2 linked regions of the Lepisosteus oculatus genome follow. The protein of the gene in region 1 purifies or fractionates together with the protein of each later gene. This does not show direct contact. Links are inferred from orthologs where the notes say so. Each region holds a gene or a part of one and is shown on either strand. Other genes may lie near its edges. The genes, in order: klhl15 and nudcd3.

Evidence for each region.
Region 2: the proteins of klhl15 (region 1) and nudcd3 purify together in Homo sapiens (co-immunoprecipitation; 3 studies listed by BioGRID and IntAct, with this or other methods). This does not show direct contact. The link is inferred for Lepisosteus oculatus from reciprocal best matches to the Homo sapiens genes KLHL15 and NUDCD3.

What each region holds. Positions count from the first base shown.
Region 1 is NC_090700.1:4,339,346-4,351,792, forward strand, and holds the start of klhl15 (kelch-like protein 15), read left to right. Parts: upstream 1-7,672; 5' UTR 7,673-7,892; coding exon of another isoform or gene 7,893-7,953; 5' UTR 7,954-8,462; coding exon 8,463-8,541; intron 8,542-8,695; coding exon 8,696-8,783; intron 8,784-9,874; exon of another isoform or gene 9,875-10,009; coding exon 10,010-10,721; intron 10,722-11,972; coding exon 11,973-12,447. Other genes in the region: eif2s3 (eukaryotic translation initiation factor 2 subunit 3), read right to left, coding at 459-553, 1,166-1,300, 1,731-1,889, 2,919-3,013, 3,374-3,495, 4,659-4,786, 5,598-5,661, 6,359-6,427. UniProt on the Homo sapiens protein: Substrate-specific adapter for CUL3 E3 ubiquitin-protein ligase complex.
Region 2 is NC_090697.1:69,159,265-69,171,642, reverse strand, and holds the start of nudcd3 (nudC domain-containing protein 3), read right to left. Parts: upstream 4,992-12,378; coding exon 4,794-4,991; intron 3,328-4,793; coding exon 3,035-3,327; intron 2,394-3,034; coding exon 2,261-2,393; intron 525-2,260; coding exon 381-524; intron 84-380; coding exon 1-83. Other genes in the region: mrps24 (small ribosomal subunit protein uS3m), read left to right, coding at 5,741-5,779, 6,772-6,852, 7,408-7,519, 7,721-8,004; protein transport protein Sec24C, read right to left, coding at 9,251-9,391, 9,556-9,645, 9,733-9,930, 10,523-10,702, 10,811-10,932, 11,172-11,310, 11,772-11,920, 11,999-12,095 and 1 more.

The sequences.
Region 1 (12,447 bases):
CCAACAAACAGATTGATTATGTAGTTAAGGCACTCCAGGCCACCAAAACATTTACCCCATAACGCATTGGCTTTCTAGGCCTGGAAGCTAACTTTTTAAATACTGCTGCTGCTGCTGCTATCCTCAGCAGGGTAGAAAATGCGTTATTCCTACATAAAAAAGGAAAAAAAGATCACAGCTCCACAACACTCTTTCTCTTGAACAATCAAGAAAAAACAATTAAAGCTCTGTAGCCTGGCGAGACGAGAAACAATACTGCAAGGAATCTAGATCACAAACACCATAGTTGAAGGGTGATACTGAGCATTAAGTGTGACTTTAAAGGAAACAAGGAAAAAAGAAAAACTCACAAATGAATAAGGGCGCATAAAGAGATGCAACTGCAACATGAGAGAATTTGCTTTTCCGTCCAGTCACAGGGTTATATAAACGCACCAACGTTAAAATTAGAGTCTCACCTTCAGGACTCCTTTCAATATACTCCCTCCGGCAACACCACCCTTGAGGTCGTCCACCTCACAGCCCGGCTTGTTCACATCGAACGACCGGATGACTGGCAAAGAACACAGAGCACAGCTTAGAGCAAGGTGAACCCCCTAGCACTGGTATCGGAAAGGGGAAAAAAAACCATCTCAAAAGGCTAAGGTTTGAGAATGCCCGACAGCTTCCATCTCCAGCCCAAACCTACCCCCGAAATCTGCCCAGTTAAGATCAAAGATAAGATAGAGGAAGACGGAGCGAAATATTCAATAACGATTTGCATTAAGGGAAAAATCAGTATATTGGAGTCTGAATTCAGACATCTCTGCAGTGAGTTGCTCCTAATATCTCTAGATCAGGAGTCAAACTCAGTTCCTGGAGGGCCTGGCGTGCTCCGTTGTTTTTTTTTGCTGGAACCTCAGCACTCATTTAAACAATTAAGTTAATGTTCTTAAAATGGAAACAAAGAGGATTTATCTGAAGGTCTCTTCTAGCTGATGACTGGGGAAAAATGCACATTCGCAGAAGCACCGTTACCTAACTGCACTTCAGAACTCCTTCAGAGCCATGCTGAAGTATTGACAACTATGCTGTTAGCTGAATCATTAGACCGGCTTTATAACGGAGCTCAGATGGAACAAAAGGCTCTCCCAGAGGGTGGCGGCGGCGGCGGGGGCGTCTCTACCGATGAGCCGGGGCTCCGAAATGAAGTCGCGGATGGGCACGGGGATCTTCTTCACGATGTATTCGCACACCACCTCGATGTTGTACTTCAGCTGGGCGGAGATGGGGATGATGGGGGCTCCTTCCGCAACCGTGCCTGGGAAAGGAAACGGCACGTCCAGTCAGGGCGGTCAACGCGAAGGAAACCAAGCTGGCTGCGAGCGAGAATCGACGCCGCGCGCGAAGCGGCTGTCCCCGCGTGACTGCGCGGGCTACTAAAACTCACGTTTAGACAACCCCTGGACAAAACAAACTGACAGGGAGTTAATCAATCAGTCCAGCAGATCAGTTCAGCTCACTAGCATGTGAATCAATCTGTCTCTAAATTATCACCAAATGTTGTTTTTATTCTGAAAGGCTTAATGCAGAAAACGGTCTTGGGACATTAGAGGAATACATCCAGACTCAGCGGCCTTGTGTAGGGTGATCTGAAGACGGCAGGTTCAACCTAAAGAACTATGACTCAGTTTGCAGAGGCACAGATAAGACGCGTGTCCCGATTCGGGGGGCCGGAGGCCAGTCCTTACCCTGCACAAACGCCAGGATCTGCTCATACTGCTCCTTGGCCTGGCTCTCTTTCACCAGGTCGATCTTGTTCTGCAGGATCAGGATGTGTTTCAGCTTCATGATCTCAATGGCAGCCAGGTGCTCAGAAGTCTGGGGCTGAGGGCACGACTCATTGCCAGCTGGGAGGGAGAAGGAGGGGGGGGGGGGAGGACGTAAAATAATAGCCCGATGGTGGATTTAGCAACATTCATTTCTTCTTACCATTACAAAATATCTTTAATAACAATGCAGTCACCAGTAAGACGGAAAACGTCCTGAAAGCCAAATACTGCCTAGCAGTGGTTCTCTGTCCTGGTTCAAGGGGACCTTATGTCCACTGAACTTGAACTTGAGCTTTATTGCCATATGTAACCGGTACAATGGAATTCATACTGACAGGAAGTCTCTCGATTGTTAAAACAAGCGCAAAAACAAAGTGCAGACAGCGCATCAAGACAATAGACAAACAGTAGACAATGTACAAGTAAACAAGTGAACAGTTTGAGTGTAAACAAAGACTGGAGATGTGCAATAAATAAATAAGAAATCATAATGAGGTAGATGGTACAGGTGTGGTCCGAGGGGCATGAAAAAATATGGAACACTTCACGAACTTGCGTGTCATCCTTGCGCAGGGGCCATGCTAATCTTCTCTGTATTGTTCCAATTTTAGTATATGTGCTGCCGCCGAAGCAAGCAGTCCACCTGCACGCTTAATCACTAGGGCTAAGGGGTGCCTGAAACCGGTCTTTTTCCTGCACAGTGTTTTATATATCATGAAGCATGGAATACCTTAAAGCACAGAAGACTATTTCCAGCAACTTCTACACACAGAGCTTTATGCTCTCTCCTCAATTTGCTAAGGGAGCAACTTCTTAATTATTTCTCACTAAACCGCTCGTAACTGGAGATGATGCACAGACACAGGTGACAAAGACCCTGTAACAGACATCTCCCACAGGGAGTCAGTGTCTTTTCTCCTGGGTAGTTTCAGCTCACACACCTGAATAAGAGTAGCCCCAAAAGTCACTAATCAGCACAGGGTTCAAACAAAAGTGAGCCCAGGTGATTAATGGCCCAGCTGTTACAAACCCCAGCAGGGGTAGGTACTCCAGGACCCAGACTGAGGACCACAGCTGTACAGAAGACAGGATGGAGGGAAACGTTACCTATCAAGAGCAGAGCGGCGTCCATCACAGCAGCCCCGTTCAGCATGGTGGCCATGAGAATGTCGTGGCCGGGACAGTCCACGAAGGACACATGCCTGCCGGGGGGAGGGACACCAAGTTCAGCCATGCTGGGACACCACGAACAAAGCAAGAGCTATAAAAAAACCTCATCACGCTGAATCCAGGCAGTCTACTGCACTGCGTGCAAAAAGGAGATAACCTTAAACCCTGCAAGAGTCTCCAGAAAAATAACACACACCAGCCAAGTAAACTGATAACACTATATGCAACGGCAGTGTGTGAGAGGAAGCTGGAGACAAATGAGATCAAGGTTACAGCAGTGGATGAAAACCACCTGGATTTGTACTCTCCTGTACAGGCAAAGCAAAGAGGACTGTTCTGCGGTAAGATCAATACAGCTGTGTTGCTCCCAGGCTGGCCTGCCCGTCACTGACCTGACCAGTTTGAAGTTGCCCTTCGTCCCTGGGATATCTGTGGGAAACTCGTCTGGAGTGCTGCTGCCACATGACCGGTAGCACTCAGGCCTGGGGCAGTTGGGGTCGTCTAGCTTGTAAACCTGAGAGGATGAAATGAAAATGTCTCACTTTCACACTGAAGTACGCCTCTGTAAAGAACTGCTCTGGGACTATAATCGTGCCACGCCATGCTATAATTTTAAAAGTTTGAAGGACTTTGAGAAGGAGCTTATTACGGTAAAATACAACATAAAAAAAACGTACATTTCAACGGGAAAAAAAAGAATCGCAGCTCGTTTTTTAAAAAAGAATGTCAAGTCTTTTTCAGACATTCAGACGATCACAACACCCCTTCCGCTGCCCAACATGACAAAACAAACAGACTAAAATAACTGCATGTTTGAAAAGTACTAGGAAAGGACTGGGATTCCCAGTCTCCCTCCCAGTCCTGGAGTAACGCTCTGTCTGTTACTTTTTGTTCCAATGGACACTTAATCCCAATCTGCTTACTTGCGCAGGCTTTTTGCTATACAGCCAGGCCGGAATTTTAAAAATGCCTGTCTCTTCCGGATTTTGCCCAAGCTCAGTAAGCTTTTTTTAAATATGCTTTCAGGTCTTAAAATGCTGGATGAAACTTGGAATTGGTATTAACCTTGTCCTAATTAGCGACTTTCAGGACAGCCCCTCATTCAGGTGCGTAAGCTCATATATAACCAATTGGGCATTAATAACTTTATCTATATAGCACCTTCCAGACCTTAAAATGTAGGTCACAGTGCTTTATGGAAACATAAAATGATAAAACTTAGAGGACACATCACACAAATGGTAAATATAAAGCAATTATGACAATCCCTACAATAGCAAGAGCAAATACAAAAAAAATAAAGAGACAAGCCAAAATACTGACTCTGTGACACTGTGGGAGATAAGGAGAGACGGCATCAAGTTCTGTGCGCTGACGAGGTAAGACATTTGGATGAGCTGGAGTACTTGTGAAGCCAAGGACTAAGTGCAGGAAAGTCTAAACCAACAAACACCAGTTGCAAGCACTACTTAACACTAGCGTGAAAGGGGTTCAGGTAGAGAGCCGCATGAGCCCGCGTGTGTTAAGGGTCATTCAATGCTGAACTCAAGGTTGCGAGTGTTTCAAGGCCATGAGGGAACAAGAGCCAGCAGATACTGGGGTACCATGAGACAGGGGCTCAGAACCACCGTGTTAGGCCATCCACCATCACAATTAGCCGTCACACACCGCTCTCACCTTTGCATTTGCGTAGCCAAGCTTGATGGTGATATTCCTCTCCAGCTCGTTCTTGAACCTGACAGTGTGAACGCCCGAGATCGCTTTCACAACTGTCGACTTCCCATGGGCTACATGACCGATTGTACCTAAAGAGGAGAGCACAGGTCAGGCCCCCCTAATCAATGCCACCCAATAACCCACGTGATGTAGAAATCATAGGTCTTGCCCAACCAACTTGTTAGATTACAAGTGATCAAACAATAAAAGTAATAGATACACACAGGGCAAATAAGGCACTGCCCTGAGATTTTCAGAAGGCTTCCGATAACGTTCCTCCTAACCTAATTCTCAAATGCAGGCAGCAGACATTCAGGGAAATGAATCTGGATTGAGAAGTGGTTATTAAATAGAAACACAGGGCATGAAACAGAGGTGAACAGTCTAAGCTGAAGTGATGTAATCAGTTGGGGGTACCGCCAGGGTCTGTACTAGGACCAGTGCTCTTTGGACTTTATATAAATGATCTATAAAGTTAATAAACTAATAGAGTTTGCAGATGATACCAAACAAGTATATACAGTTAAAACTGAAGAACTTAATTCCAGGAATGTTCTATTAAAACAACTAAAAAAGATTCATTTAGAATACTGTGTAAACATTTGGCTATGATATATGAAAATACTGCTACTCTGGAGTCAGTCCAGAAAAGAGCAAGCAGAATCTGCTGAGGCTCAAGGGAAACTCCTATACTGACATACTGAAAGAACTGAAACCTTTTTCATGACAGAACCTATTACAAGTAATCAAAAGCCACAAAAGGCACTGACCAATTAATAATAACATTATTAATTAATTGCCAACTAGAAAGCAGGCCTGTAATGTGCACCTGTTGGTGCTTATTATTACAACCTACAGCGTGTTAGGGTTTCATCTACCTGGACAGATCCAGTCACTTACCAATGTTAATTGTGGCTTGCCTACTGATGATTTCTGGCGAGAGGGGAGTTAGCTTACCCACATTCTGTAAAAGGGAGAGATGATTAAACCGTCTGTCAACACAGAGACAGTCATTTCAAAAAGAACGACAAAAAATAAATGACTTGCTGGCTTCTGGACAGCGGATGACTTGGGTTTTATAGACAGTGAGGGGAACACAGTAGGTGACACAGCTTGTGAACAGACAAACCCCTTTCTATCCTTCTAAAGAGACGGGGATCAGCCCGTCTGTTTTGTTGTTGGCACATTATTTAAATCAACGATAACTTCTGCTCCGCAGACGATGAGAAGACGGGCGGTTAGGACTCTACGGATTTGGGTCTCTGGCGTACACGTCTGCGAAAACAAACGCCGAAAAGGACACTATTGTTAAACTACCCCCTGTTCTCTGAACACCAACGGAGTGATCGACACCGGTCGAGCGTGGCATCCGTGCTTTTTCACACGGAGTTTAAAATCCCAAAACAACGGACCGCACGACGTTAATCTTTTTTTTTTCTGTTTTACTGATGCCCACACCCAACCCACGCCGTCTCCGAGCTGCCGTAGGGTCCTGACTGCACCGCTCTCGTGTGCGGCTCCGCGACGCCGGGTCTGCTCCGGCCCCGGACACCAGCCCCTCGGCCACCCAACCTCCCCCCGCCCCGCTCTCGTCGGGGCTATCCCGGGACGGTCAAGACGGCCGGCGCCCGGCTCCCATTCACAAAAAGGCTGGCACTCACCAGAGTATTGAGATCTTGCCTGGAAAGATGAGGCTGCCCCAGCGTTACTCCTGACTCGTCGCCCGCCATCTTGAACGAAAAGGGAAATGTTGTAGTCCGAGGCGTTTGCCTGACTTCCTGTTTTTATGGAGGAGTCCTTAAGTCCCCTACTTAAAAAAATAGGCAAAATGTCTTGGGTTTCCTTCACTCCGAGGTTAAATGCGAATCAACCGGCGCTCTTTTTCAGGTTTGTAGGATATGATGATTAAAGCAGTTTTATTGCAAAGGGAGCGCGGGTCCTTCGGTTGAGGGGTGATGCAATATTCTCAGTACGTCACGGAATACGTCACTCCGTATGGTTGTGGACTGATGGCAGTAGAACAGTTCTGTGCATAAAAAATGAGAAACCAAACAAGGCACACAAAGTCGGAAAAAAAAGTAATCTGGCGTAAATATACAAAACCACCTTTTAAATATGTAGCGAATCGTGCATTTGTTGTGTCACGTTGTTAGTTGTGTTGAAATCATTGGACTCGGTAGTACGTTACTGGAAATTGCTTCCATGTTTTTTCTAAGGCAATACAGCTGCAGAGGGACAGCGGGACACTGCCACACACACACACACAAAGGGCGGGAAAAGAGGAAAAGCTCGGTGACTATGACTCAGTCCTGTATTGTGCTAAATTGCTTTTTATCCCAGGGCATTACCCTGCAACCCAGGTGGCCTGGCCACTACCTGGATGGGAGACCTGGAAAAGCCAAGGTTGCTGCTGGAAGATGTGTTAGTGGGGCCAGCAGGGGGCGCTCACCCTGCGGTCTGTGTGGGTCCTAATGCTCAAGTATAGTGATGGGGGACGCTATACTAAAAATAAAGGCACCTTAATTCAGATGAGACCTAAAACCGAGGTGCTGACTCTCCGTGGTCACTTAGAATCCCAGGGTGTTACCCTGGTGTCCTGGCCAAACCTTTCACAATCATGGCCTCTTCACTGAACTGGCTTCATCACTCTGTTCTCCCCACTGAGAGCTGGTGTGTGGGGAGTGGACTGGCAAACTCTGGCTGCCGGCACACTATCCAGGTGGGGCTGCATACCGGTGGTGGTGAGTCCCCATGACCTGTTAAGAACTGCAAGTGGAGTGTCCAGAAAAGCTCCATAGAAGTGTAAGAAATTACTATTCATTACGAAACTGCTTTTTATTAAATAAAACCCTTATTTTATCATACTTACACTGTAAAACAATGTAAAGTCGTAGAATCTCGCAAAGCCAGGGTACCCATACGTTTTGATATACTTTGCGCCCACAGAACGCCGCACTGGGACCCGAGACCCCACGACTGAGGCGACGAGACTCTGGCCAGCCCCGCCGCAGGAAATGACGTCAGTGCAGTCGAGAACATGGCGTCTGTGTTGGCCATGAAAGACGGAGGTAAACACTGTCGGGATATCCACTGAAAATAATGCGCTTTGCCAAAAAGGCGAAGAACGACAAAGGAGTCGCTGGCCATGCGTGTTTAAAACCCGGTCCCTTGTTTTCGGATACACAGCTTTAATCCATGTCAGAAGGAGCCCGATCTCTCTGGTCGAAGAGGGGTTGTGTGGAGTCGCATCGCCGAGGTAGGAGCCGATAGATTCTGTCTTGCATTTCCCCCAGCGTGTCGGCAGTGCTAGAAGAAGCTTGTCCACCTGCAGCACACATACACGGGAGTGCCCTTATTTACACCTGGCCTGCTGAATTGGGTTCGGCACCTTGAGATGGGACACCGAGAGGAGACACGATTGTCGGTAATTCGGAAAGCCCGATACCGGCGCCCAGGCATGGGCTGTGCGATTCTGTACGTAAACTTTGCTACACAATGAGGTTTCCCAGCCCGCGATGGGATCGTCCCAGCCTCCCCGTGATGTTAATGGAAGAGATCGTGAATTGACAGTTGCAAAAAACAAAACGCTCAAAATGGAGCCATTACAATAAGACTTGGAAAGAGGATGTTGTGGCTTTTTAACAGATTGAATTATCCTCTTTTCAACATGTTATACAGCAGAACTGCACCCCGAGTGAATGTTTGAAGTACGAGCTTTGCGCATCGTAACGTGGTGTGACTTTAAGGCCAGCATCCTGCTGCAACATGAATCGGAAACTGAACTATTTTAAAGAAAAACAAAAGCCTTCTCAAGTGCGAGGTGAAAACGAGGCTGCGCTTATGCGTATGTGTTATCGTGCTAAATGTAGCGTTGCATGTTCTTTGCAAATCAGTCTCTGTGTCACAGTGTAGTGGCATGTTGGTGATGTTTTTTTCTCTCTGAAAAGGGGCTGTTATCGCCCTCGCTGGAGACTGAAGTGCTCTCTCTTTATTCACAGAGCAGGGAAAGCACAAGCAGAGAAAATGTGAGCTTCCCCACATTACACAGTCTGCAAACCCCACGTTTGGCCTGGATGTACCGAAGAGGTAGTATTTCAGTCTCCCTACTGCTGAGAGTCTGGCCTTCTCTGAGGCTGCTGGACTGTTCTCACCTGTGCCATTGTGAACACATTCAAGTCTGTAGCAACTAAGGCCCATTCTCATCTTCTTTAAGTAGCTGCGGTTCTTGATTTTTTTCCTGTCATTTTCAAATAGCTTACAAATGAGTGTTTTTTTGCGTGTGGTTAACAACGTAAAGCTATGAAGTATCATGCTGCATAACCTGGGACACCAGAGTTATTTCATTTTGCTGCTGCAGGCATAATAATAATAATAAACTATTTTATATAGTACCTTTAAAGGTACTATATACCTTCTCAAAGTGCTTTACAGAAAGACAACAACAATACAAAAATCCACAAGATATACACAATGAGAGGAGACAGTAGATGGGGGTACTGGATACAGCAGGAGCAGAGGGGTGAAGAACAGAACCAGTGAAGTAAAGGCCCTTCTGAAGAAGAAGGGTTTGAGTCTGGATTTGAAGGAGTTTAGAGGAGGTGACTCTCTGATATCCTTGGGGAGAGAGTTAACAGGAGCAGGCCCTGTCACCAATAGAGTATTGACAGGAAGTACCGGAACCTGAAATTTGAAAACAAGGTTATTCTGTAGTAAGGTGTGTATGTTTTGGAAATACACGCTCTCATCAATATTACCATATTTGAATTGAATAAACACTTATTCACCCCGTTAGCTGTAATTAGAGATTGCTAATGAATTGACTAACATAAAGGCGCACAGTCTAATGACTTTCAGCTCTAAGCTTCCTTTCCCCCCTTATCTTACAGAGCTGTGTGCTCGGGTCTCTCCACATCAGAACAGACTCCCCCACCTCCGCTCCCTGCTGGGCCGGGATTAAAAATGTAAAAATGACCAGAAAAAATCAAATGTGCATTTTACTCGCACAGCAGTGATGATTTAGCTTAACCAGCATGCATTAACCATTGCTTCTGGTGTTAATACTGGATTGGACAGGCTGATTAAAGTCATCTTGTTGCCCAGCTATTTCAGCACTGCCGGTAGGGACAGTAGAGATCCAGACCTTTTTCTTTTTCCGTTTTGTTGCTGTTATGGCCCAGGTAGTAAACTTGCTTCTGATGTTGTCCGAGTAAAGCCCGGTCAGCTGTCCTGAAGCCCAGGCTGCGCGGACAGCGTCGTCTCTGCCCTCGCCCCCGGTCCTGATTGCTGTCGCTGCCTGTCCGCCCGCCCCGCAGGTCATTAATGGCAGCGGACGTGGAAGTGTTCATCTCCTGCGACCACGACAGCAGCGTGTCGTCGGGCTTCCGGGCGCTGTACGAGGAGCGGCTTCTGCTGGACGTCACGCTGCTCATCGAGGAGCACCACTTCCAGGCGCACAAGGCCCTGCTGGCCACGCAGAGCGACTACTTCCGCATCATGTTCACGGCCGACATGCGGGAACGCGACCAGGACAAGATCCACCTGAAGGGGCTGACGGCCACGGGCTTCAGCCACGTGCTGCAGTTCATGTACTACGGCAAGCTGGAGCTGAGCATGCTGACCGTGCACGAGATCCTGCAGGCCGCCATGTACGTGCAGCTGACGGAGGTGGTGGAGTTCTGCTGCTCCTTCCTGCTGGCCAAGATCTGCCTGGACAACTGCGCCGAGGTCATGCGGCTCCTGGACGACTTCGGCGTCAACATCGACGGCGTGCAGGAGCAGCTGGACGCCTTCCTGCTGGAGAACTTCGTGCCGCTCATGTCCCGGCCGGACTTCCTGTCCTACCTGAGCTTCGAGAAGCTCGCGCTGTACCTGGACAGCGACCGGCTGAGCCGCTTCCCCGAGATCGAGCTCTACGAGGCGGTGCAGGCCTGGCTGCGGCACGACCGCCGCCGCTGGCGCCACACCGACTCCGTCATCCAGAACGTGCGCTTCTGTCTGATGACGCCCTCCCACGTGTTCGAGAAGGTAGGACCGCCTTGTCGCCTTTTACTGCATCTCGCGCCGCAACAGTAAATCCCCGAAGCATCATGCACTGCTGTGGCTATACAATCTGCTGCAGCACCCTGTCATGCCAAAGAGCAGAGCACAAAATATCAGTGATGGTTACAGCGTTCTGGGCCTTTGCATTTGTTGTCGATGAAGTCAACTTTGATTCAAGAAGCCTGTTTTTCCTTTTTTGGGTAGCTGGGAGCCCTGCAGCACGATGCTTGTGGTTAACTGAGAGAGCAGCGATCCTTCTGCCATGGGACTCTGGCTCCTGTCAAGCTCAGTGCCAGTGGGCCGTATCAGCTCTGCTGGATAAATGAAGCAAGAGGGTTATTTATTCTCAGGCAGTAGCTTTTTTTTTTACTCATTTACATTTTCCCTTTTCTTCCCCCCCCTTGTCGCGAGAGGCATTGGTCTCCAACTCCCATGAGGACTGTAGCCTCACTTCCTGCCGTCCTGTCCACCGAAGTGCTGGACGTCATTTGTCCTTTGCGCCCTTTGTAGGTTGAAGATCTGTGGGCCGCATTTGTCCCAAATGATCTCGGCCCTCAGTAAGCATTTGTTGCCTACAATCTAAACTACCTTTCCTGCCCCCGGGCTTGATGCATTTCAGTCTTGACAGGTTTCAGATTCAGCACCTCTTAATGTTATGGTAGCAATATCTGTTTTTATTTAAATGTAAGTATGATTGCTTGAGTTTGAAATACCCAGTACCTGTCCATTGGGTTATTTATTGGCCGGGACTTCAGAAAAGAAACCCAGAGTAGGTTAAACTGCTGCACAGTGGGTTTCTCTATCCAGTTTCATGTTATTTCTTCTCTAGCAGACCTTATGATTAATGGTGTCTACAGCGCTTTCCTAAGGAATGAAGTTGCACGGAAAGTATTTTTTCAGTATTTAAGCAGAAGGGATGGACAGGCTGTCAGCATAGTCATCTCTTTAAAAAAAAAAAAACATCTCCGAATGAAATAGGGAATGTTTCGTTGCAGGAAATGGTTGAAAGATTAGTTTTTTTTACAAAAAATCTGTTGCGGTTAAATTGAGATTACCCTTTCCTTTTAACCAAAAACGTGGGATGAAATCCAAAGTATTTTGTTTCCTGGGGGAATATTTCTCCGTGACTGCTGGACAAGCACTGATCGCTGGTGTGTAAGTGCTACCTTGTCCCGCCCTTTGACCTCTTGGCGAGGCCCCCCCCCCCCCACTCACGCGTCCTCTGTCCTCGCGCAGGTGAAGACCTCCGAGTTTTACCGCTACTCCCGGCAGCTCAGGCACGAGGTGGAGCAGGCGCTCAACTACTTCCACGGCGTGAACGAGCAGCCCCTGCTGGAGATGAAGTCCAACCGCATCCGCTCGGTGCGGCCGCAGACCGCGGTGTTCCGCGGGATGATCGGGCACAGCATGGTCAACAGCAAGATCCTGCTGCTGCACAAGCCCAAGGTGTGGTGGGAGCTGGAGGGGCCCCAGGTGCCGCTGCGCCCCGACTGCCTGGCCATCGTCAACAACTTCGTGTTCCTGCTGGGCGGGGAGGAGCTGGGGCCGGACGGCGAGTTCCACGCCTCTTCCAAGGTGTTCCGCTACGACCCGCGGCAGAACTCCTGGCTGCGCATGGCCGACATGTCGGTGCCGCGCTCCGAGTTCGCGGTGGGCGTGATCGGGAAGTACATCTACGCCGTGGCGGGCCGCACGCGGGACGAGACCTTCT
Region 2 (12,378 bases), on another chromosome or scaffold:
CGGTTAATCTGGTTCACATCAATCTCCTCCTCTCCTTGCAGCACTGCTGACCACCAGTACTCTCCACATTTGCTGAGAGACAGCTGGAGAGAGAGATTGATAAGAGTGAGAGGGAGCTACAGCAATGTTCACTGCACTTACTGAAGTGAGAGGGGGAGTGAAGGAGAGAGAAAGAGAGAAGAAAGAGCAGTGCCAAGTATCTATCGGACTTGAATGCTGGGGCAGGAAGAGAAAAAGTAAGGAAAGTGTCACAGGGCAGGAGACCATCTATGTCTCTGTGTTACAGGGTGTTCCAGCAAACTGCAGCGTTTGAATGAACTACAGGAGTTACAGTGAGTTTCAAGACTGTGCACTGTACTATGATGAAGTGTCCATCTTACCAGCACACAGCTCCCAGGCTCCAGGCTCCATAGTGAATTCTCCGTGTTGATCTTGTGAGTGAGAGTTCCTTCCATCAGCACCGTCTCCACACCCATCTCCATCACAGAAACACGCAGGCTGTTTGGCTGTAGATTCACTGACACCTGGCCCCAGGAGAAATGAGGAGAGAGGAGGAAATAAAGACAAAGGATGTGTGTCAACCGTTTCAGGAAGACAACACTGTAAGAACTGTGGTGAAATGTTAAATATTAACTTTTTCTGTATAGGGCTCAGACATCAAAGTCCCCTTTGCCCTGTTGTCAGAAGTAACTGACATAGAAGCAACCAAAATCAAACAAGACATGAATGTTTGAACCTCAGTCAGTATCAAAAATAATCTTACTGTTTTTACTGGATAGGAGCTCACTCATGTTTTTCTATCCATTTTCTAATCACTTTTTCTCATATAGGGTCATGGGGAAGCTAAAATTCTATCCTGGCAAGAAATGGGTGCAAGGTAGGATACACTCTGGATTGGAAGCCAGTCTACTGCAGGACACACACACACACACCAGCGTCAATTTTCCCAGAAGCCAATTAACCTAATCAGTATGTCTTTGGAATGTGGGAGGAAATTTGGTAATTTGTGGCCTCCAGACAAACAAAGTACGTGTAACACAAACCACATACAGTTTTGCACAATGAGCTTAGACTGAGAAAAAATGTAAAATGTGACTAAACAAATCGTCAAAACTAAAATTATAAAAATGTGTTAAATTCCTCTTTTAAAAATGTGTTAAATTTGTGATACTGATTCTGCTACCAAGTTACTGTTGACCTCCAATATCGTAGTTGCTCCTATCGTCAAAAATGGGTTCCTAAAAAGATTTAAAACAAGCATAAGAACACAAGATTACAAACATTCAACCCATCTAACCTTTCTGGTTGCTAATTGTTAAAGTATTCTTTCACTTTCATCATCAAACCTTCTTTTCACTGCAAGCTGAGGATGTTCCACAAATTCTCAGACTTTACAGGGACATTAATCCATGACAGTAGGGGCTCCAAATATGATTCAGCAGTATCCATCTGGAAAGTACTCTGGGGTATATGATCAAGCCTGGCTGGCAGGCAATACTGTGAAGCGTGATTACAAGAATCAAGAAATCGTCATCAGGTTCATGATCGCTGGGTCAGGCAGACAAGGATCCTGTATCCACTGCAGGAAGTTTAACCCTGGGTAACTCTAGAACTTACTCCATGGTTTCTGCCTGTACCATCCACTTACTCAACATTCAAGAACTTCAGTCCTATGTCTGAAAAAAAAATATTCTTCAAAAGAATTGTTATAATAAAATTAAAATTGTATTTCTTATTTGTTAAGGATTTTCTGTTTTATCACTCCTATGCTTTCATGAAAACATTCATTATTAATTTGCTCAAAATACCTACTTGGTAAAAGGTTTTAGGTGGTAACAGAGGGATGAAATTAGGCATTATGGTACAGTCCAGTCCAACTCTGACAGCACTGATCTAGCAGTGGTTTTAGCGAGCAACAGCAGGATTATGTCATTGGCGTAAAAGGGGTATTCTGTTTTGGTGTCCTGAAAAACGTTCAGTCAGCATACTGTTCCAGCAACATGGCTACCTCATTAATAATTATGTTAAAAACACTAAATAAATCCAGAACTACCTGCATCTCTGTGTGCCTCTCTTTCTTTTTATTGTCTCATTACTTCTCCTTTCCTCCACCTCTTCTTCTGAGTGACATACTGCCATCTCTTTCAGTGTACCCCTATAAACCCTAATACTTCTGTCAGTGTACTCCTCTCTCTCTTGAGTATTGAAATGTCCCTTGATTTTAGGTTTTACCTGCGTCTGCCTCTTTTATTTAGCCTACCTGCTTGCCCTTGCGAATGGTGCTGGGAACGTGCACTTTGACCTCCACATCAGTGTAGTCCTGTGACCAGGTGTAGTTCTGTCTCACTGCTCCATTGTAACTATCAGGATTGCCCTGGAACTGCTCCTGTACCCTGCACATAAAACACACAATACAGGATGGTTGTCACACTGCTACAACCAAAACAACAAACTCAAAAATATAACAGGCTAACTACAACTACACACAGGCAAATAAGTGGGCACACATACCAGAGATGAGACTGAAAAGTGGTTCTCTCTAAGACACTTCAAAATTGTACTTTTAAAAGTAACTGAGGAAACACAAGAGATTTTTTTTTGTGTGCAATCTTTTTGTGGACTGTGGAGTGCTGGATAGATGCATACACGAGTGACTAAAGCTATCAGAGTGACAAAGATGCCATAAAGACTGACAAAGATGCCTGCAGGAGCATGACTTGGGAAACTGTGAAATCCACACTGATGATTGTGTGAGCTTTCATCTCCAGCTGTGTTGCAGCCAGTCTAACAAATAATGCAGTCTGACGGCTTTTGTCATGATGCAAAAAAGCCCCAGGCCAAATATTATTAATATTGGATTTCATGCTAGACTTTAAACGGCATACACCAAATTCCCCACTATTTCAATTTCTTTGCTCTCCCCATCCAAGCAAAAATTATGACACCCTCAATGCACCAAACCTTTGCTTCTTATTATAACACATTTGTGCAGAGTAAACGTCCTCTGTGGGGGATAAGAAGTGCCCACACTCACTTCTCTGTGTCATCTGTCTCTGCAATGGGCATGGCCTGAGCTCCTTCTGTTGGTGGGATGTTGTCAGCAGAGGCTGGGTCTGGGCAGGGGGGTTGGACTTGCTCTTGTAAGGGGGGTGAGGGCTGTGTTGACACTTCCTTCTCTGGAACTGGCACTGGCACCTGGACCTCTGCCTCAGACTGTACCACCACCTCCTCCACAGCAGGGGGAGCCTCTTTCCTTCCCTTGTTCTCTGCCTCCTGCAAGCTCTGCTCTCTGTCCTGCGCTGCCAGGCGCTCAAACACCTTGAATGTCTGGGCAGAGAAATGACAGAGAAGAGAGGAATGCTGAGACACTTCAGGTATTTGGGGAGGCAACACAAAGGAAAATATTTGGATTTGAGATTAATGCTGCAGCAAGTCTCATTTCTTATTGGTATCTTGCCGATGTAATACAGCGAATCATCTAAGTACACATCCCTATCACAAAAGTGTTCATCACAACCTTTTGCCGTGTCAGATGGCCCTAAACACAAACTATAACAAATCTGGAAATCTCCAAAAAGGATTTTCAGAGGCATGCTTGGTTAACCAGATGTCTTCATCACCTCTTTCCCCTCAAGCACACTCTTACGTATATTTCACTTTACATTTCAAGGGGCAAACTCCATACCTTCAAGCAGAATTGCAGGGGGGGGCGATTACTGGCAGATATGTGGTGGTATTGATTAACATGTGAAAACAAGTCTGACAGACAACTACTTAAACATACAGGTAACGCAAATTGTTATGTCAAGTATATATTTTGCATTGCCAGTGACTGTTGGTGGAGATAGCATTTAATGACTAAATTTGGCCCAAGTACAACAGCAAATGCATTTTTTAACGATCTAGTGTTTTCTGCTCCACATAAAAGACAAATAAATAGGGGGCTGTAGCACAACACACGTTTTGATTTGTTGGAATTCATTATTAAACCAGAATTTTATTGAGATTCTATTTTATCTGGGAGAAACGCTGCAGAATACCACCAGGTAGACAACTCGTGGGCATTAGGAGCTTCCATCATGCGCTCTGTTTCTGTGGATGTTAGAAATTGAGCCCACGGACCCTGAAACCAGGAGTTATAAATGTACCTCTATAGGGCATTAATACAAAACACTATGGTTATGAATGTATATAAGAATACGCTTGTAGGGACAAAACTGCTTTTAAACGACGACAATATAAAAAAAAAACTCTCTAAATGCCATATAGTGTTAACATAAACAAAAGTTAACCGAAACATATTTTATTGAAAGATTTCCAGATACATTTGTATCATTTTAGTTAATTAAAACACGAAATTATGCGTCTCACAGACTGTCCCAAATCACCGTCGTTTTCTTCCAAGCCTTTCGAGAAATGGATTAAACCGCTTAAAACCACCAAAACGCGAATTTTCCGGGTTAACAAATAGACAAAGCAAAAGGCAATTAAAAAATGTAAACTCTTAAGAAACTGTTGTCTGAAATCCTTCACTAGGTAACTGTACTTTCAAACAACACAGACTAGAGCCAGCTGTACACCGAGATAATCTTAGAACATAAACAATGAAACACACCAGGTAAGTTTCTTTCCAAAATCTGCGCAGAGTGGTGCTCTCATACATAACTACAATAAGTCTTTTTGATGGAACACCGAAAGCTCCAGAGAAGTCGCTCCTATTTTATGCACTTATCCCATAGTTTAACAACTTTTTTTTTATTTGTATCGTTTTTAAAAATTTACTTTCACCTTACCTTAAGCACCATTTTCTCGGCGACCCCAGGAGGAAAACCCATGCGATCGCTGGGGCTCGTTAACAGCCTGTAGAAATCTGTCTTTCGATAGAGAAACCCGAAATAAACCTGTAGAAAATTCTGTATGTTTCCGACGTGCTGCAGTATCCCCAGCAGAGCATTGTCGTACAGCTCAGTCATCTCCAGTTGGGAAGACATTGTGTAAACAACCGAAGTAACACACACGACGCAAATAAAAAGCACTTGTACTGCACACTTATGGTAGGTGTTTACTACGATATTTTCAAAATATCCCTTCTGACGCACTGCTCTGTCTATACGGTTTACGGTTTCGCCTGCTTCTTGTTGACTCGCGTTTTACAGTCCGTGTGGAAACGCAAAACAACGAAGTTGCCCTGCCCGATTGCCTCTTATAATTTTACGCTCACCCAACAAAAAATGTCAGCACTTTTTAAAAAGGAATGAAGGCATTGTAACATTCAAAAATTCATCACCGAGAAATACTTAAACGCGTCTCTAACGTAATTTTAAGTTACAAATGAACATAACTGAAACTTAACATTTTCGTATGCTTAACTATTACATTCACATTTATGAAGAAATTAAGTTATATTATTAAGTTATAATTAATTTATAATGTATCCTTTAACAATAATTAAACATTTTTAAAATACTGTCAGAATAAATTATTGCCTCGGAAAAGAACATTCTAGGTATGTATGGAAACAACTCCACGGACTCATTTAATCAGAACACCACTCGTACAATAAAAAGTAAATATGGAAATTATACTTGGTAATTAATAAAAAGAAACAGTATAAAATGTATTTATGCATTTGATTATTTTTGTATCTGAATACATATATTATATTTACAGCAAATTATAGAGATAAAATATTTCTTTTTTTATAGCCACTTTGCTCCCAGAAATCAGTGCGTGTTTCAAGATGGCGACGTCCTTCTGTAGTCGATCTGTGAAGCTGTTGGTAAGAAAGCCTTTAGAAATCTTTCAAGTAGTCGTGTAGATCTAGTTAATTAATTAAAACAGTGGTACAGAACCCTAAACGAAAAACAATTACGTGTAATATAATGAGGAAATATGTTGGCTTTTCAGATATTAGGTGATATCTACTGCTGGATCTTGTAAACTGTGTTATTGCTTGTGTACACTGAATGACACGTTTAATTGGGCAGATTCTGAAAGGATTTGCAAATGATTTAATCAATAAAATAGTCCAGGCTTTCTAAATTAAAATCTGTGTAACTGTAATTGAGGGATTTGTATTTGCGTTGTACAGCATGATGGACGATATATAATCCATCACATTTGACAGGAGTGTTTTACAATTATTGAGTGGAAAAAAGCTTTAGATTAAACGTTTTTATCTTGTGGTAATACACTGCAGATGGCAAAAGTCTCGATGACATATTTCGCTTCTTGAAAATAAACCTTTAATTCAGTATAAAGGCAATAGCATTAAGTAAACACACTACGTAGAAGATGGTAGTTCTGTAGTTCTAAATAGTAGTGTTCTGTGGTAATTGGTCATTTATGGCAGACAGTAGTTTGTAGGCATTTTTACATAAATCCCTTTAAACATATTTTACACTGGCAGGACTTTTTGTCACTGGGAACCAAACATATTGGTTGCACATTAATCTTTATCGCTGATCGTGCTTCAGTACCAGTCCCTGATAATTGAGTAACTTTACAAGAAACATTTTAATGTGACAATGTAAGAAGCAATACATAATTTGCCAAGCAGTCGATATACAAAGACTTGGCTCAGTGTACACCTCAGTAATTTATTTGACTTCCCGTTAATCATGAATTAAATATAGACAGAGACTCGTTGTAAAGTGTTACCTATAATACAAAAGTATCTGCTGGGAGTGTGAAACAGACAGTCATTTTCACTTCCCTCTTCATTGGCTGATAGGCAGTGTGTCCTCTTTTTCTCTCTCTCTGCCCCCACAGATCCCACTGGCCCAGGCCAACAGTGCAGTTCGATGTGTTCCCGGAACACGAGCAATTCAGACCACTGCAGTGTGCTTCAAGGTAAGAGGTTCCAGTAGTCCCATTGAATTTATTACTAGTAACTGTAGCCACAGTACTAATTGTACTAATAAACGTTAAAGCAATCATGTATTAAAACTTACACCAGTTGGAATAGCAATAATATTTGTTCAAAAATGTGCTAGATTCGCTGAACTGTTTGTATCTTTGTCATATAATGAGAAGATTAATTTGGCTAGTAAAAGTGTATAACAGCCACAGGTGGCAAATTTTACAATATGCCTTGGTGTTAAGTCCTCTAGATTTGGTTACATCGACATGGTCAGTGCAGAGTAATGTTAGTGTGATTCTAGATGACCTCAAATGGCTTTCATTTAACCGTGCTTGAGATAAACAAAAAATTAACCTGATTAAACTTCTCTCTCTCAATGTACAACGGAGTAAGGCTGCACCCTAGTGGTCAGCAGGCAGATATGGCAGCAGGGGTGTTTTTTAGCTCATGTGTAAAGTCCTGTTTTCAGAGAGGGAGTTCAGCATTAACTGAAAGCTGTCTTATGGTATTTCTCATCTCCTGATTTCTCCTCTGCCTGTTTCCAGAATCGTGCAGCACGAGTGCGAGTTGGGAAGGGTGACAATCCGGTGACGTACGAGCAGGCCCTGGCCCCTCACTATATTGCCCACCGCAAGGGCTGGCTGTCCCAGCACACCAGTGAGTGTTTCCACTGGGTTTGCAGATCCATACTCAGACTTGCCCATTGCATAATTCAGCCATCTTTGTTTGGAGCCAAGTTTTCTTTTTGACATTTATTCATCGTCTCCTCATGTATATTTTTTAGCTGTCATTCTCCACAATGTCCCATTGCTGTCCCACTCCTGTGGTCAAGTTAAAGCACTCATTGTTGTTCCCCAGGTAACCTGGATGGGGTAGGGGGCGCCGCTGAGCGCACCATTGAGGACGTCTTCGTGCGGCGATTCATCTCTGGAACTTTCCACGGCTGCCTGGCGAATGAGCTCATCATCAAGCGCCGCGGCAACCTGCTGGTGATCTGCGCCCTGCTGCTGCAGAAGCTCCCACCTCACAAGTGCTATTTCCTGATTGGCTACACAGAGACACTGCTCTCCCATTTTTGTAAGTGCCCTGTCAAGATGGAGGTGCAGACCCTCCAGCAAAAGGCTGTGTATAAATACCTCTGAACAGGGAAGCCAGTTATAAACGTCTCAGAGCTCTGTTGTCTGCCTCATGACCTGTACTCAGTATGCCTCAAGCGTTTAAACAGTGAGCAAGGACAGGAGGCAGCCTACCTTCATTGGGGGGGGAAAAAAAAGAAGCTCTCCACATGTGCATCAAGAGGAATGTATTAGTTGAAACCATGCATATACTTTACATAAACACATTTGTGTATATAATGAAAATAGCTGAAAGAAATATATTCTGCATTAGCCTTATTAGTGTACTCAGTTTAAAATGGTTTGTAAGAAATCGGAGGTCAGCGTGTGCTGAAGTGGTATCCATATGTGTGCAGGGCCGACTGAGTGTACAGAACACTCTATAGGGGAGTGAGAAACTGAAATGTGGACTGTAAAATTCTTGAGATGCACAGATATTGTGCATTGTTTTAATTACATTTGGAGTATCTGCAACATGCTTAGCATATGAACAGCCTCTGTGGATGAACATGTAGCTAAACAGACCGGTGTTTGGATTCTAAAAAACACCACTTCTTGTTTTTGTCATTTTTCTGTCACGCAATGACGACACACGGCAGTGTCTGTTCCCAGAAAGCTTTTTATTTTCAGAGAAGAAATGAAAAACCCAGTGAGGGGCAATTGCTCCAAAAACAGAGCGAGATGTGGTGGGGCAGACAGGAGGAGAGAGGGGAGGGGTCTCAGACTCAAACTGGGAGGCTTTTCTGCCTGCCCGTGTCATTTCTTACTCATCATGAGTTCTCCTTTAATAGGGTTATTTCCTCAGATTTGACAAAACACATATTCCACTTGCAGGGCCTAGATGTTTCCAGTTCCAGTTGGTTCCCAAACCCTTCATTCCAGGTGCAGGACCTAGATGTTGCTGGGCCTAGATAAAAGTATTACAATTTCCCAAATAATGAAAAGGAGAGCTCAGAACAAAAGAGACACTGCCCCCTCCCCCCCAATCACCACCAGCTTAATTTTAGAGCCCTGGTTTAGGGGATGAACAATGGGGAATGTTTGGACAGGACATTTAGTAAGAGAAAGCACAGCTGTGCTGGTAAAATGAGCCTTACATCCATTCCAGTGCAGCTCTCCGGTGCAACCCCCTCCTTAAAATGATCAATAGATGAACAAAGAAATAAGGAGCTTGTGCCAAATCATCCACTGGGTTGGACTGCAAGTTGGCTGTTTGATTTCTTCTGAACTGCAAAATGGAAGGGGAAGAGGAAGAGGAAGAGACGGCTGCCGTTCACGCCAGCAGCTGCAAGGAGTTGATGTGCACGTGATACAGGAAGTCGGGGTACGACGCCCCGCCGTTGGGGCTCTTGTCCTCCACCAGCAGGTGCCGGAGAGCCTCCTCACTGTGGTCTCCCTGCTTCACCACCTGCAGCTGGACACACAAACAGGCCTGGTAGCAAAAACACTGCTTATTTGACTGGTGGCAAACAAGATGTCTTGCCATCATTTGGTTTGCGTGTGTCGGTAGATACACGGATGATGCCAGTGTAGGTGTAATCAAGGATGTGGCACTGAGAGTACCATCGTGGCACCCACCTTTAGGGTGAAGGCTGTGCATGACCTCAGGGTTTCGATTACTGCCCTCACGCGCAGGGACAAGGGGTTGTCCAGGGTGGGCAGGCAGCACTGCAGAAGAGACAAGACCGGGTTTCACTACAAATTCCAAATCGAGGAAATGTTTCTTTAAAGCGGGCGGCGGTGTCGGCTCCTGACCTCTCCGCAGGGCAGCTGGCTGAAGGAGCTGGCGTTGAAGAGTTGGGAGAGGACAGACAGCGGGACGTGCTCCCCCACCCAGAGCAGCAGGGCTAGGGAGCTGTGGGCCAGGTACAGCCCCCGTGAGTCCAGACTGCTCCCTGAGCAACGCACTGCTGCTGCAGGGGCACCATCGCCAACAGACTGCTCACACAGGGGCTGGGCACAGGGAGAGAATCGCTGTTTCAGAGAGAGTGGGGCACAGGGAGAGACAGATGCAGACAGACACCAGTCGTCAGTCAAGAGGACCTGCTGCAGGGGTGTTCTGTCCTGGTACGTGACAGCTGCAGTCTCCCCAAGTCACTAGCACCATACGAATTTCTGTTAAATTGGCCCAATTAAGCCAGTAATTAGTAGAAATGGGCACCTAATGGCCAAGTAGGAATGCAAAATTGCAGGATTAGACACCCTTTCCTGTTGTCTTGGTTGCTATTAGAACTTATGACCAGGTTTTTGCAGCTTCATGCAGGTGTACAGAATTCACCAGTGGTGTCTGAACCCTGAGATGAAAGAAGGAATTGTTCTGGATGTAGATGCACATTGGTCCAGTTTTCTGGATTCTTTCAAAGAAGTACCATCCATTGTCCATAACCGTCAGTCCATTGGAGGCACACACACGGGGAACAATTTAGCCATACTGTGTCTTTGTATCGAGGGAGGAAACCCTCATGGCCAAGGAGAGACCATGCACGCTCCACACAGAGGGCCCACGCCTTCATTTGCAGGTGGCCCCCGGTGTGGCAAGTCTCACCAGTGGGAGGAGCTCAGGATAGAAGTAAGCGGCAGTGTGGGCCGGGTCCATGGCGACCAGTTGGCCACGCAGCTGCAGTCGTTGTGGCACGGAGCTGCGCTGTCCGGGCAACAAGACCTCACTCTTGCGCAGACTGTTCACATAGACTGGGAGGGCCTTCAGACACTGGGGCAGCACCAGCTAACACACACACACACGAAAGGACAGGATGAATAGGTGCACAGCATTAAGACGCACACTATATGCAAGCAGTTGCTCTGTCTCTCTGGCCGTGCCCCCCTCTCCCACCTGTCCATGTGTGAGTGCAGTGGAGGAGCAGTGCTGCCGGTAGCAGGCCAGGGCCTCTGTAAGCTCAGTGACCAGTTCGTCTCTCACAGCCTGGAGAGGCCTGTCCAGCACGGCGCAGTAAGCTTGCGGACAGATACACAGATCAGCCTAGGAGAGTACTCTTAGACATGCAGTACACAGGCACACTGATCAGAGCTGCATTAAAGCAACAGTAAAGGGGTAAAATGACTGCAATGAGAACATCTAGGGGGAAAAATATTCAAGGAATAAAATCGAAGAGAAAGAAAAACATGTCAAAATGGCAGAAAAGAGAAACACAAATGACCAATACAGAAAGGGAGACTGAGAAACCAGACTGCACCTCTCTTGCAGTAGAAGCTCAGCAGTGTCTCGGCCTGGCTGTTGCGGAATGTGTCCACTAGGTGGCGGGAGCAGCGCAGGCCCAGGCTGTGGACCCTGGTCCTCCTCTCTCCCTGGGAGGAAGTGTAGGACAAGCACATCTGTCAAAAGATTTGAAGAACATTACAATAGTAGAAACAAGGTGGCCGTTCAGCCCATCCAGCCTATTAAGTAGACAGTAGTTAATTTATCCAGCCTTTTCTTGAAAGAAACCACAACCACAAGGCTAGGTAACTTGTTCCACACTCCTACCAGCCTTTGGATAAAGACGTGCCTCAGGTTTTAAATACACCTTAAAGTGACATCTACTTGTGCCCTCTAGTACATGTGTCACTGGTTTAAAAAAAAAATCAGAATCCTTGTATCAAGCCCACTAATATCTGATTCTGTCAAGTAGTCAGACACAGAGAGAGAGACTTGGAACCAGAAACAGAGGGGGACATTTACTGTCATTGTCACTTAGCTCCACATGTTTGCACTCAGTAAGTATTTGTCTCAAGCACCCTTACTCAGAAAAGCAACTGGGACCACAACCAGCAGGAAACAGCCAATCCGTGCTCACCTGCATGGCCACGCCCCTGTGCTCGTCCAATGGGCTGTGATGCATAAACTGAACTGCCACAGCGGTGTGCCAATCAATAGCCGCCAGGGAGATGACAGCTGGATCAGGGCCCGGGGAGAATGCCCCAAAGCATCCAGACACCCGCAGACCTGCAACAACAGGGTGGGATCATTTATTGTAACAAACACGCATAACTGTCCTACTACAGCTCCTTGAGGATCCTATACCTTTGCTTACAGAGACCCTGAGCTCAGCCCTGTAGCCTGTTTCTGCCTCCACACACCTCCTCAAATCACTGCCGAACCGCTCCACGTCGGCCTCTCCCTGAGCGAGAGAAAGAGGGAAGCAGACACGGAGAGACAGAGATGGGGAATCTTTATTTATGTCAGTTCTGCTGTCGAGCCCTGCTTTTCCTCTGCTACAGCCCATCAGAAACTAACCTGAAAGCATTCATAGTTGTAGACCCTGCCCCCAGTCAGGGAGGAAGCGTGTCCTGCCCAGGTCCCTCCCACAGCCTGCTGGGAGAACAGGAAGAGGTGTAGACTGCAGCCCTGAGCCACACACTCCCGAGCCAATGAGCCGCAGGATTCTGGGGGCTGGAACAGGG